Linked DNA regions of Caenorhabditis elegans. The protein of the gene in region 2 purifies or fractionates together with the protein of the main gene of each other region. This does not show direct contact. Each region holds a gene or a part of one and is shown on either strand. Other genes may lie near its edges.

Region 1 (4,849 bases), 510 kb from region 2:
CTTTCATATGTTGCAGAGTAATCATTTCATTGGATGGAGCACGAAGACATACTGAAAATTATTTTTTGCGAAAAATGGAAAATTTAAATGATTTTTATTACAATTTTGATCCAGGCTTTTGCTCGAAAAGTGCACATTATTCATGGAAACTTTGTATCCTTCAAAGTTAGCATCAATCTTGGAATGATCCACAGGAAGATTGATTGATTGCATTTTAGATTTAATTGGTATAGGGGATTGACCAGGCCTGAAACCATTTTTTTTTCGATGAATTACTAAAAAATCAATTTTTTGGTGAAAAATAGAAGTTTCTTAGTTTCATTTTGCTTATTTCAAGCGTTTTTTATTATAAAATGTTCTACCAATTTCTTTCATTAAAATTTAGTTGTAGAATACTGAAATTTCATTAGAAAGAATATTGGGAAAATGGCAATTACCGTGTGCCGCCGACTGAAGATATGAAAAAAGGTTTAAAACCTTTAAGGGAACATATTAGAAATTGAAATTATTTAAAAAAAAAGAAATAAAAGTTTATAAAACAGATTGTGGAATGAAAGACAAGGCAAGATGTCTATAAGTGAAAATTGAACACGATAAAATAAAATTAAGCTGAATATTATAAATTCAGGCGTTTTCGAAGGAATCATATTCTGGTTCCGGCTCCTCTTTTGGCTTCTCCTTTCGAGCCATTGGCACAAGGCTCACTGGTCCTTTATCAAATGAATCTTCCTCATCATCTTCTTCTTCTTCCTCCTCATCCTCTTCATCCGAATCATCACTGCTATCCTCAGATACATCTGATTCTTCTTTAACAAGTCCACTTGTCGATATTCCTGCTGCCAATTGTTCAATTTCCGTTGGCCACACTCCCATATTATTTTCGCAAGAAGATGATTGTTCCAGCATTCCCATTGGGAACCGATTCAAACTTCCCACTTTGTTCTTCAAACCGAAACGAGTAGGAACATTGGTGCTGGCGCCTGCTGGCAAGATAGGTGTGTGCTGGAAAATGGGCAATTATTGGCTTTTAAAAATTCACTGAAACTTGCCTTTTTATAGAACTTCTCTGAAAAACGGCAGATTATTTGAAAAGCGGCGAATTGTTCATCTGAAGCTTTGTGCATCGAAAATGCGTTCAAAAACTTCTTTCCATTCTCCAAAATTCGAACTTTTCCGAATACTTCAACACGGTCCCCGACGTTGAACTTCTTGGCAGATTCTTCGGTGAAAGAAGCCTGAAATTAATACTTTTTTCCAATGTTACACGATATATTCAGACTAACGGTGAGGATTTTTTGAACCAAAATATTATGATTATCTTTATCAGTAATCATGTATTCTACATCAGAATCTCCGAACTTCACAGATTCGATTACACCCATCACTTGAACGCGAACAACGTCTGCCGTTCCGTACTCGATTCGTTCTTTTGTTGAATTGAATAGCGCTGAAATCGGCATTGGGACGGCATGTTCTGGAATATACCGGTGAGTTTCCATCTGAAATCATGAACAATATGTGAGAAAAACACAGAAATTTGAAGATAAAATCGACGTCTACAAACGACACTGTTTAGCGCAAGAAGCATGCTCTATTGATAAAATGGTTTCAGCGAATTTTAAAAATTTCAGAGAAACTTTAGTTCGACTTTAAAATAGTGCACGGATTAAACAGAAAACCTGAAAAAATAAAACTGTTGAATAGCCTGAATGAAAAAATTTATGATTGCGATAGATAGCCCGGTTTTGAAATAAATAAAAAATCACAGAAGCAAATAACTGCCACCACTAGTACAAGTACACAAGAAAGACGGTTGAATACACTGAATAATATTATGTTTTAAAATTAGTCATCTTCGTCGGAGCTTTCGCTAAGTGCCAATCCATACTTCTCCTCAGAATCTTTGTTTTTATTTCCACTACTTGATATATAGGGAGCCACGTGGCTTTCTTTGTGATTGTAGGTATTTGAAGACGAAGGCGGTGCGGGTTCTCTTTCTGTATATGGTTTGGGCTTTTTCATTTCTTCCAATAATATCTTCTCGCTCTCATCTTCATCATCACTGGAATCGCCATTCGATTTGTCGGAATCAGATGATCCATCAGAATCACTACTCGAATCTGATGTATCTCTCTGCATTTGTTTCTGAATTTTCGCTTTCTCCTCCGGTGAAGATGGTCCAGATCGCTGATTATTAGAAGAAGTTCTCAATCTTTCGATTCCACGTTTCAATGCGAGTTCTGTTCCTTGATCTAGATCTCTCGTCTTTTTTACATTAATATTGCTCGTAATTTTCTCCAAGCGAACTGTGTTGGTCTTTTTGTCGAAGAACAGAAGACATTCTTTCGGTTTTGCTTCTTTTTTCGATCCTTTATATACAGTCATATTGTCTCCTTCGCTTGGTACAGAGACATGTACATCACCGCTGTTCCCAAACGCTATGAAGGTGTCGGCATTGTTTGATACAGAGCTTGGCTTGAAATCGTCTGTAAATTTTAGCTATTTCGATTTTATATTTTTAAATTTCTGATATATTTAATCTTAAAATTGTGCAGTTAACCTACATCTTAGCGTGTGAAATTGCTCTGCCTTAGGGTCACTTTTCCGTCCTTTTACTTCAAATGACTTCCCGAGGGTCAAGGTGTAAGTACCATTCGGAATATCACTTGACTCTGCCATGTGAAACTGAAAAAATGATTATTATTAAATCATATGTGAATATTTTGAATTTTTTAATTTGAAAAAAAAATCGATAATTTTATTATATATTACAATGAAATTCTTCAGAATAGTGCCAATTGTGTGCGCGAGAGTACCATTAGCTGTGGGCGGAGTCTTCGGTTGGCAAGCCTGGCACGCCGTTTTGCAAGTGTGCGGCACAGTGTTGACCTCGGCGCTTTACCATTTTTATGCCGGCTTTCTTTCCTATTTTCATTCAAAACGCTATAATTAGATGAATTTGTACATAAATTATTAAATTATATTCAACTACTGAAAAAGTATCAAAATCATGAAAAAACTTAGTGGGAAAATAGTTTACATTGGATTTTAAACCGTCGACATATCGCATTTATCGATTTTTCAAAAATAAGCGTTTGGAATATTTGCTATTCGTTAAAATTAGCACATCCACCTTTACTCTTAATTCTGCAATTGTATCTTTCCACTATTCCTTTTATTCAGTTTATTTTCTCGCTTCGCATTATCGATTTTAATTTGAATTGGCTTTTTTCAGAACAAAACTCTCATCAGTGGGATCACCATGGAGACGGAAGTGATGAAATCGTTTAATAATGAATTGTCGTCACTATTCGACTCGAAAAACATGAGCAAGAACAAGATTCAGGATATAACAAAGGCTGCGATCAAAGCAAAAAGCCAATATAAGCATGTGGTTTTTTCAGTTGAAAAACTTATCAATAAGGTTAGAATGATTTCGAGAAATCGAAATTTAAATTAAATAATTTATTTATTTTTATTAATGATTTTTCAGTGCAAGCCAGATCAACGTCTAAATGTGCTCTATGTAATCGATTCAATAGTCCGTGCTTCAAAACATCAACTTAAAGAAAAAGACACATTTGGCCCACGGTTTATGAAGCAGTTTGACAAGTTTTTGATGCCGCTGTTAAAGTGTGGACAGAAAGAGAAAATGAGAACAGTTAGAACTCTTAATTTGTGGATGTCCAATAAAGTTTTCAAGGAATCAGAGATTCAACCACTGAGAGAGATGTGCAAGGCTTCTGGATTAAGTAAGTAATTATGGTGGAGAATTCAAAAAAAAAGTTTGATTTTTAGCTATCGATTTCGAGGAAGTTGAGCTCGCCGTGAAGGGAAAACAGGCTGATATGAGCATTTATTCCGGAGTTTACAAGAAAAAGCCAAAAAGGTCTTCATCATCGTCTCAACCGAAATCTCGTACTCCTACAAATCCACATCCGGATGATGGACTTCTCGGTGCTGGACCATCATCTGCTCTGAGATCTGTCCCAGATATTCCGAACTTTGTGCTTTCTGAAGATTACTTCCTTGGAACTATTTCTGAGAGAGAAATGTTGGAATTGGTTCAGAAGTTCGGCATAGATCGCAGTGGAGTTTTAAGTAAGGACAAGAATCTTCTCCAGAGAGCACTTCAAATATTCGCTGGATCCTTGAGTCAAAAAGTAGAAGAAGTTCTAGCGGAGAATAATCGGATTAATGGAAGTAGTATACAGAATGTGTTAACAAAAGATTTTGAATACTCGGATGATGAAGAAGAGAAGGAAAAGGAACCACAACCAGAGAAACAGAAAAATCTGCCACATGCTCAAGTCCTGTTGTGAGTTTTTGATGCATTTTATTTTTTTCTTAATTCCAGAATGTTTCTAATTTTTTTTTCAAATTCTAGATTGGCTCAAAGTTTGCTTACTCAACCTCAAATACTCGCAAAACTCGCTGAAGTCTTGATACCTCAAGGAAATCCATTTGGTCTTCCGTTCCCAGGCGAACATATTGTTCCAACATCGTCAGCAGCTTTAACATTGGGAGCTCCACCACCAAATCTGATGGCTCTTCAACAATCTCTGCCGCCAGGTTTTCCAAATCAACAGCTCGGACTTCCAAATCTCTCAGGCCTCAACCAAGCCCAACTGATGAATGTTCAAAATGCTCAGAATATGCTCCAACTGCAACAACGTGCTGCTCAACTTCAAGCTCTACAAGGAAATCCAAATGCTCAGCGAAATCTTCTTATGCTTGGAAATCCATTGCTTAATCCATTTGCTCTTCAACATGGTGTTAATCCAATGTTAAATGACCTCCAAGCCGCCGCAGCAGCTCAACAGCAAGCAATGTTGAATGAAGCCGCACA
Region 2 (8,699 bases):
ACAGTTGAACGATAACTAGCGATGAAGCTCGGGGAAACTGCTCCAGAAAGCTCGAAACCGCGTCCTCCAACGTCTTTTTTGAAAACTCGCAGGCGTTTCGATGTATATGACAATTCGAGAGAAAGAATATTTCCGGCAACCGAAATTGCAAGACCGCGTAATTGATGCTTCATATCGTAAATTCTTTCATCGTATGATGCGAACACATTCATCGAATCGCCTCCATCCTTGAAGTTGTAAATAACAATTTTGTGAAGGTTCTTAGGTTTATCGGAACACAGAATGGCCGCACTTTCTCCTTCTTTGAACACAATCACAGCGGTTGGATTTTGAATGGCACCCTTGCATACGTGTATTTCCTCTTTTTCGACGTTCATAATCAGTAGCTTGTTCATATTTCGATCGCAAATTAGCCAATCATTACGGATCTCGTCGTAGGCAACTCCCAATGGATATCCGAGGGGTTCATTTTTGAGTAGATCCGGCGCAGGAAACGTTTTATTTCTCATCATCAAATCTGCAATGTATTTCGGTCAATAATTTTCGATTGGAAAGTGGAGTCTATCTCCAGCAGTGATTTTAAAAATAGCTTAAAATCTTGCCGGGACATCAACACCCCGCAACAACTCACATCCACCATCTTCCGATATGAACGAGATATAATCAACGTTTGTAGTGTTTGGACTCGCTTTTAGCATCGATCTATTCGCAATTTGTTGGTTCCCGCCATTGCTGGTAGTTGGGCTACTAATTTGGACGCAGGAGAATGAAATCGAAAGCTGAAAATAACATTTATTTAATGAAAATTTCAAAAATATATGAACGACTCACATCCTGTTCCTTGAACGTGACACGAGTGACTTTATTACTGGGAAGGATAGGTTTCTTTTCTCTTTCCTTCGCTTGTCGATCTTTTTCTCGTTTCACCTCTTCGATCTTTTGCTGCTCGATGTTGAATGCAATAGCGTTACCAAGTTTTCTCTCGATTATTTTGCAATCGTACTGAAAAGTAGAAAATGATCCAAAAATAATATTCTGATTAATAAGTTCCGTACAGCTTTTTTTACGACGACGAGCTGCTTTTCATCAAGTCTGACACGACCTCTAGGTTCTTCAATTATTTGGTGAAGGACATTAGTCAATTCAGCAAGCTCCGAAGGATCGAGATCTGAAATAGGTGTTGCTTGTTACCGAAATTTTTTATTAATTAATTACGTACCATCCACCTTTTTGCTCATATTGTGAAGCTGTGCTGAAAATCATTGAATGTTTTCATAAATATTTAACAAATTATGGAAAAAAGGAGAAGGATCAAAGTTCATTTAAATTTAAAAAACACGATTTATTTAGCGGGAAATTTAGGCAAAAATTACAAAAAAAGTAAATAATTGCCAACGCATTTTGTCACTTTGATGTGCAGGTTTCGGGAATACTGTAGTCGAAGAGACATTCGCGCGCGAAGAATTAATTTCAGGAAGCCTAGAAATGCATTATTTAAAATTTTTATTTTACCAAAAAAAATGTCTTTCAATTTCTTTGAATAATTTAAATAAAATTTACAGAACATTTTCTTCCATATTTCCTTTGCTGAGAAAATTTAAACTATGAAGTTGAACAATTTTGTGAATAAAAACTTTAGTTACCAATAACAAGAGAACGGTTAACAACAGAACAATACAAGAAAACAAAATCAACAATTTATGGGAAAACTGAAGCAAATGAAGATGTAGGAGCGACAAGTTCAGGTTCAAGCCGGAATATGGGAGGCATTGGGATAGGCGACGGCTCTTGGTTTGGGTCAAACTGAAAATTTACACAATTAGTATTATCAAAATATTTAAACTGACATGTGAAACGTGGATTTTTTTATTTTGTTTTTTATTTAAGCTCCTCGAGGAGCTCCTCCCATTCCTGACCTTTCGTTGAAATTTTAATTTATTAGTTTATTTTTAAAAAATGGGAGGAGCTTAAATAAAAAACAAAATAAAAAATAAGCCACGTTTCACATGTCAGTTTATATATTTTGATAATATTTTTTAGCGTTTCAAATTTAATTACCAGTGCATGAAGTGGTCCTGGAAGATGCTGAACCGACAGGCTTTCAGGCCAGATTGCAGCTTTGCTTTTCTGAAGCTTCGTGGCAAATTCATCATAAGCGCTTCTCAATTTAAGAGATTCTGGGAAGTTTCCAACTGTTATCAAAACTAGAATCAATTGGGATAGCTCATCTGAAAATATGTCACAATATATTAAAATTCCAGGGAAAGCAAAACTCACTTCCAATATTCTCTAACCATCGATAATTCTCCGAAAGCACGTTGAGCAATGCTGAATCTTCGTATTCACCACCTTCTTTCAGTGAACTTTTTTTCTTTTCAATTTGCTTCCGCCTTCTAACAGTCGACGCCATCGAAACTTTCGATGATCCTGATCTTGAACTTATACTGGAAATAACTGAAATATCATCTCTCAAATCGTCAACTTCTCCAGCTGCAAACTGTTCAACTCTCTTCAACTTGTTCTCTCGAACTACAGCCAATCTCTTTTTGTAGTTCTCGAATTCAGTTTTTCTTCGTTCTAAATCCATCAAAACTTGATCATTTCTGCTCAATGCAGCCTTTTTCAGCGCTTCCTCTTTTCCTACTTCAACTTCTCGACTCGCGTCTAACCATTCAAACGCATCACAGAGAACATGTACAATTTGAGTGCTCGACGAACCGGCCAATTTCAGAGCCTTCGCCAATTCCTTCGGCTGTCGTGCTTCTCGAAGAGTTGTACTCATTTTAATTGCATGAATCTTCAACTTTCCAGCATCAACTGCAAGTCGACGAGCTGATGCGGCAAGACCATCAACATCTCGTGACATTTCCCAGCATTTCAGAGTTTTCTCCGAGTTTCCAGAAAGTTCGTAAAACAACGCAGCTTCTCTCCAATGAACTTTTCGTTCCAATTCAGCAGCGTACAGCTCACAACATTGCTTATATCTTCGATCTCCTGGCTTAACAAGGGTCAGTGCATCTTGATATAGTTTTTCCCTTTGAATTATATCTTCAATATCATTCCACCATGTCTCTTCTGAACCTCTTTCTTTACTTGAATCCAACAGAAACAATGAGGAAACTGCATCAATCCAAGCTTCTCGTACAACATTAATACGGTATTGTCGTTCAAGTGTGCACATAACTCGATTAAGCTTGTTTAGAACTGGTAGATATTCTTTTGGATCGTAATTTGAAGCTTCTGCAACTTGCTGAGCAAGCTTCAAATCGTATGTGGATAGAGCACAGTTGAAGAGCTCTTTAGCCGGCACAAAGAATGAGATGTGATGTAGACTGTTTCGAGTGAAGACATCCTTACGATCAGCTGAAAAAAAAGTTCGTTCTTCAAGATTTGCAAAATTTCAGTCTAAAACAAGGGTGTCGGTTTTCAATTTGGGTTCTTAAACCTTTTATTTGCTAATTTTCTAATTTTTTTTTTTGATTTTTCGATGACGCCCGTGGTCTAAAACCTACCAATTTTCTCAACATGCTCTTGAACTTCTTTCAAACAATCGTTAACTTTCGATGGTTTCGATCGTAACAGAGCAGTAAGCAACAGTGGGAACATCTTTGTCTTTTCTGCATCCGACAAATCTCTGACATATCGTGCAACTGTCATACAGAGAGATGATCCTGCATCCTCGAAAACTTCAGTACAACTGATAAGAAGTTGTTCAAGGAATTGTGAATCATTTGAAGTTTTCAACCAAATTGGTATGTCATCTTCCAAATCGTCTCCCTTATATTTCATCGCAAATGACATGTCAACTCTGTGTTTTTTCATCCACTTGAATGAGGCAATGTATTCTTTTCGATCGAGCAAGTCACGAGTGTGAGCCATAACATAGCGACGTGGTTGAATAGTTTCCAAATTTCCGCGAGCAGCTTGTAGGATAACATTCGCTGATTGAGAATCACATGCAACAAGTTCACAGCCTGCTTCAACGTTACGAACGTCTTCTAAAGTTTTGCCTGATTCAGCATCAATGAATCTCAGTTTATTATCGAAATCGATCAGAAGAATATCGGAGCCTCGAGTTAAAATTGAAATAGCGTCTTGGGAAACACGCTCCGAATCGAGGAAAAGCATCGAGTTGTCCACTTGAATCACGTGATGGTTCTAAAAAAATCTTATTCATAAATATCATCTAACGTGAGTCTCAAGAAATCAAAAAACTTGAATTTTACCAATATTCCGTGACAAACCTGTATAAAATGCACTTCGGTAGACTCGAACTTGTCAATTTTGAACAATTCTTCTTTTGTATTCAAGTCAATAAACTTTCCATCGTTTGATGCAATTTCAACGTGCTTGTTTGAGGGATTTACTCCAATCCACCCAATATTTTCTCCTTCGAAGATTTTTTCTGGATTAGCACCAACTCGACTGATTTGATGTTTTCCGTGGCTAACGTTCCAAATAATGTATGATTCTGATGGCTCATCGTACACAAATCCACAGATAATCCCTTCCGTAACCTCAGTGTGTAGTACTTCATCAATTGAAGCACGGTCGCTGTTGAATTTGTATCCATCTGTGTCTTGGCTGACTGCAAAACAAGCAAAATAAGTTTTATGTGAAGGGACTTTTAAAATTTCTAAAATATATTTTTTTCTAAAAAATGGATTACTGTAGTTTCTCTTTTTTTTTTTGAAAAATAGCTTGAAATTTTCATAATTTTGTGGTCGAAAATTGTTTCGATGACACCCTTGATCACCATACATGAAATGATTTTCCAATCCGATGTGATAACATGAACGTGATGAGTTGACGTTGTATAAGCGACAATATCAGATAGACATTGAATTGAATAATCACACATTGGTGGAGGCACAACTCTCCGACACAATGAATACATCCGAAGTTCATCAGTTGCAACGACAACGTTTTGTGATATAACGTCAGAGAATGAAGCAGTAGGTGTGATATGAACTGAGAAGAATTGACCAGATTCCAGAAGAACTTCAATATTTTGGCATTCTACAGTACTCCACTTCCAAATTATTGATTCCGAGAACTTCCAATAACATTTTCTGGTAAATTCGTAATTGGAGAGATGCCAGAATTCAACTGAAAAGTTTTTATTTTTTATTTAGGAGCTTTGCAAAACTCTTACGTTGATGCTTCTTTCCCAGAGAAGTCTGCATTGACAGAATGGTTCCAGTGGAATTCCATTCAATTTTCTCGATAATTCTTCTATCTTCAATCTGGTTTGCCGGCCATTTGACGACATAGCTATTTCTTGTTTCACCATTTCTTTCATAGATTACAATTCGATCATCGGAGCCGTTCTCCTGGATAGCTGAACACAAAAGATTCGCATTTGGCTTGTGTGCAAAGCAATGGGAGAGGTAGATATTTCGAATGTTCATGTTGTTCAGAATTTCTCCATTTCTATCGAAAACCTAAAAAAAAGGTATTATATTACTTGGAAAATTTTGATCTCCCAACTTACCGTTAAATTTCGTGTGTCATTTTGACTTGAATAGAAGGAAACGGCGACAATTTCACCGTCCCATCTCCAATGCACTGACGTTTTTCTTGAATGTTGCTCGATTTGTTCCTTTTCTTTTTCTATTTTCTCTCCTGGCTTAAGTTTGCCGGCGGATCCTCTGAATTGTGTGCTCTCAGAGCCCCAACCAACATTAACTGGTGCAGATTTTCTTTCATTTTCCGAGAAGATGAGTGGTCTGAAATTAAAATTATAATTGTATTGTTCATCTCAATTTAAATTTAGATACCTTTCTGCAAAAGGAACAAGAGAAGAATCTGCAAGATAAAGGGTTTGATTATCAGCAAGAGCAAGTGTTTGCTCATCGGCGGTCCATTCGGCTGCTGAAACAGTTGTGTCGGTCAGTTCGGCTATTTCTAGATCCATTACTTCCCCATCTTCAACGATCAAAGCACGTCCGTCAGCAAGTATCACCACTATTTGATTTCCATCGGTTCGAAACTGAAAAAATTAACTTTAGATTTTAGATATATTTAAATTTCAAAAATGAATTCCCTACCGACAAGGAAATCACTTCCAATTCACGGCGTTGCTCGGCCCATTTGATTGTGCTGCTGATCTGCAAAATTTCGCAACATTTTGTCACAAAAATATTTCAAAAGTCTCACCAAATTGTTTTCTAGCAGCAAAAGCTCATTTTTCGTTGAAACAGCAATCGTTTGAAGAATGGGATGAACTGCGAAATCGTCCGCACCTGGAACGCACTAAGTTTTACCTTTAAACTATTTTAATTGTTTTTACCTGCGATCTCTGGATTTTCAAAAGTTTTTACACTTCCAATCTGTAGGTTTTTCATATTTTCTGCAAGAAAATGGTTTGGTACAGTGAGAAAAAAGCGGAAAACTGTTAAGAAACTTTTTTAGTTAAAAAAAATCAAGATGGCCTAGAATTTCAACTGCGGACTAGTTCATCAGAAAACTAGGCCATTTTTTCACAATTGTCAATTTCTCCATTTTTTAAACAATTGTTTGCCCATGGCAACTTTCTGTTCAATTCGAACAGCTAAAGACAATTTTTTAGTTTTTTCCTCATTATTTCAATCAAAAAAACATTACATTTTTATCTCTCGTTGTCTTTTTCTTGCACTCTCTAACAGTCTCCACAGGTTACTGCCCTTTCCAAATCGAGTATTGCTCTGCAAACAAACCAACTCTTATCGATTTATTTGCAGCCTCATCGTGTCGTCAACCGGGTTTTATGATATTCTAAAATGCCACATACCGTACCTGGATGCCTTCATCCGAGCAATGGAAGGAATGCAATCGACTGGTTGCTTTTTCAAATAATTTTTCGTATAAAAAAAGTTTAATTTTTAGGAATGATGGGGGTCTCATTGCTTATGGATCTCATAATTTGATTTTCGTAGTTGATGTGATGCAATACAAAAGGATACAATCCATCGAGCATCATCAATCTGCCATTAATATTGTGAGTTTTCATGTTAACTTAATAAATGAAATTTAATTATTTTTCAGATCCGGTGGTCTCCAGCTCGATCGCCTTTTGCTGATTTATCACCATCATCTTTACAACCAATAATTGCATCCTCTGATATTAGTGGACATATTATAATTTCTAATTCAGTAACTGCAGCACAAATTAATAAATTCTCTCATCCAAACAGCTCTGTTCTCCGTAAGTTTTCATATTTTTCTTCAAATAAATTTAATTTTGAAAGGTTTCAGAAATGTTCTGGTATCCATGGAAAGACATTTCTCGAGATTTCCTTCTAGTTCTTCATTCATCCAGTACAGTTGTTCTATGGAATACGGTGACTGGAGAAAAAGTCTGGAATCATACATATTCCCATGTTCCACTTTTTGATTTTACAGTCGATCCATTTTCATTGAGAAATGTGATATGTAAGTTTTTGTTTTAATATTGAAAATAAGCTTTAAATATAATTTTTAAAATCAAAAATAAACCAACCTGTTTACGGATTTTTTGGTTTTTTTGTTGTTGCAAAATCTAAGACTTCAACTAAAATTATGATCCAATTTAAAAAATAGCCTAATGAAAAAATAATTAAAAATATTAAAATATTCGAAAAGAAACTTAAATAATCAGTAAATTTCAGTCAGCAGTTCTGGAAACAAAGTACTCGTGTGCTCCGACATTGCTCTCTCGGAGCCTGCTTCCTCTGGACATTTATTTCAAATAACTTCAGAAGACAATTCAACAACTTCCACTAACACTAATATTTACCTCATCACATATCACAAAGCATATCGAAATACGGTTTTTATTGCAATTAATTCTGGTGTAAGTTGCCATTTCTAATATAAATAATTAAATAATCAATTTTCTCATTTTCAGCTCTACCTAGTCAATCCTGAATTAATGTGTTGTCTTGCTCGTGTTCCCATCGAATCAAATATTGTATCTTGGATGCCAACCGGTCGACGAGATGCTTTGTTCGCTGTGCATTCGAATGGAGCAACCACTTTTCGAGTTACAAAATTTGAGCCAACCGAGGAGAAAAAGCCGAACGCCAGTTTTTCGATGGATAAGGTAATGAGGATTTCAGCGTTTAGACATTTTTAGATTTAAAATTTGAAAAAAAATCACCAAAAAACTTCTTATAAACCATATTTTTCTCTCAGGTCTGTCAAACAGAATGCGTGCGTCCAATGAACAATCAGCGAATCGTAGCAGCTGCACTGTGTCCAACCACTCAATCAACCGTCTCTGTACTCTATCAAAGTGGAAAACTTGCATTCTGGCAACTTAGCAACGGACGTCTACCACTTTTGTATAGATCAAGCTTCATTGAGGATGTTCTTGAGTTCAACGACAATCTATCAACGAAGTCAATTGGGGAACTAAGTCTACATCAGCTTAGTCAAATGGGATCATTGTCTTCTGGTGTAACTTGTGTTCGAATGAGACCTATGGATGAGCTAACGAAAGTTGAAAATGATCCTTTTGGTATGGAAAAATGTTTAAATTTTAAAAGATCGAATTTGAGAAACTTCCAAAATACTCAAAAATTGCGTCAAGAAATTATGTTTTCTATTACCATTTGACTGAAATAAAAATTGAATTTTTTATGTTAAAAAATTATTATAACAAAAACCTTTTGACAACCAACAAAAATTAGTTTTTAACCAAATTTTCATAAAAAGTAATTGTCTTCGTACACTGTACA

What was found.
Region 1: the proteins of elpc-1 (region 2) and eaf-1 fractionate together in Caenorhabditis elegans (co-fractionation; one large-scale study listed by BioGRID). This does not show direct contact.

Annotation. Positions count from the first base shown.
Region 1 is NC_003279.8:4,601,053-4,605,901, reverse strand, and holds eaf-1 (Ell-associated factor Eaf), read right to left. Parts: upstream 2,686-4,849; 5' UTR 2,680-2,685; coding exon 2,565-2,679; intron 2,487-2,564; coding exon 1,846-2,486; 3' UTR 1,706-1,845; downstream 1-1,705. Other genes in the region: C44E4.5 (NudC domain-containing protein 1), read right to left, coding at 1-51, 102-213; D1007.8 (Nucleic acid-binding, OB-fold protein), read right to left, coding at 625-1,002, 1,050-1,235, 1,284-1,499; nrd-1 (CID domain-containing protein), read left to right, coding at 3,263-3,424, 3,494-3,752, 3,799-4,318, 4,388-4,849.
Region 2 is NC_003279.8:5,112,501-5,121,199, forward strand, and holds elpc-1 (Elongator complex protein 1), read right to left. Parts: upstream 6,353-8,699; 5' UTR 6,348-6,352; coding exon 6,293-6,347; intron 6,246-6,292; coding exon 6,160-6,245; intron 6,111-6,159; coding exon 6,051-6,110; intron 5,993-6,050; coding exon 5,781-5,992; intron 5,730-5,780; coding exon 5,495-5,729; intron 5,445-5,494; coding exon 5,156-5,444; intron 5,110-5,155; coding exon 4,762-5,109; intron 4,589-4,761; coding exon 4,245-4,588; intron 4,159-4,244; coding exon 3,513-4,158; intron 3,364-3,512; coding exon 2,278-3,363; intron 2,229-2,277; coding exon 2,059-2,228; intron 1,804-2,058; coding exon 1,699-1,803; 3' UTR 1,622-1,698; downstream 1-1,621. Other genes in the region: Y110A7A.15 (uncharacterized protein), read right to left, coding at 1-517, 632-779, 832-1,002, 1,056-1,168, 1,220-1,238; Y110A7A.9 (WD repeat-containing protein 11), read left to right, coding at 6,762-6,820, 6,868-6,979, 7,027-7,186, 7,237-7,413, 7,629-7,813, 7,868-8,062, 8,155-8,479.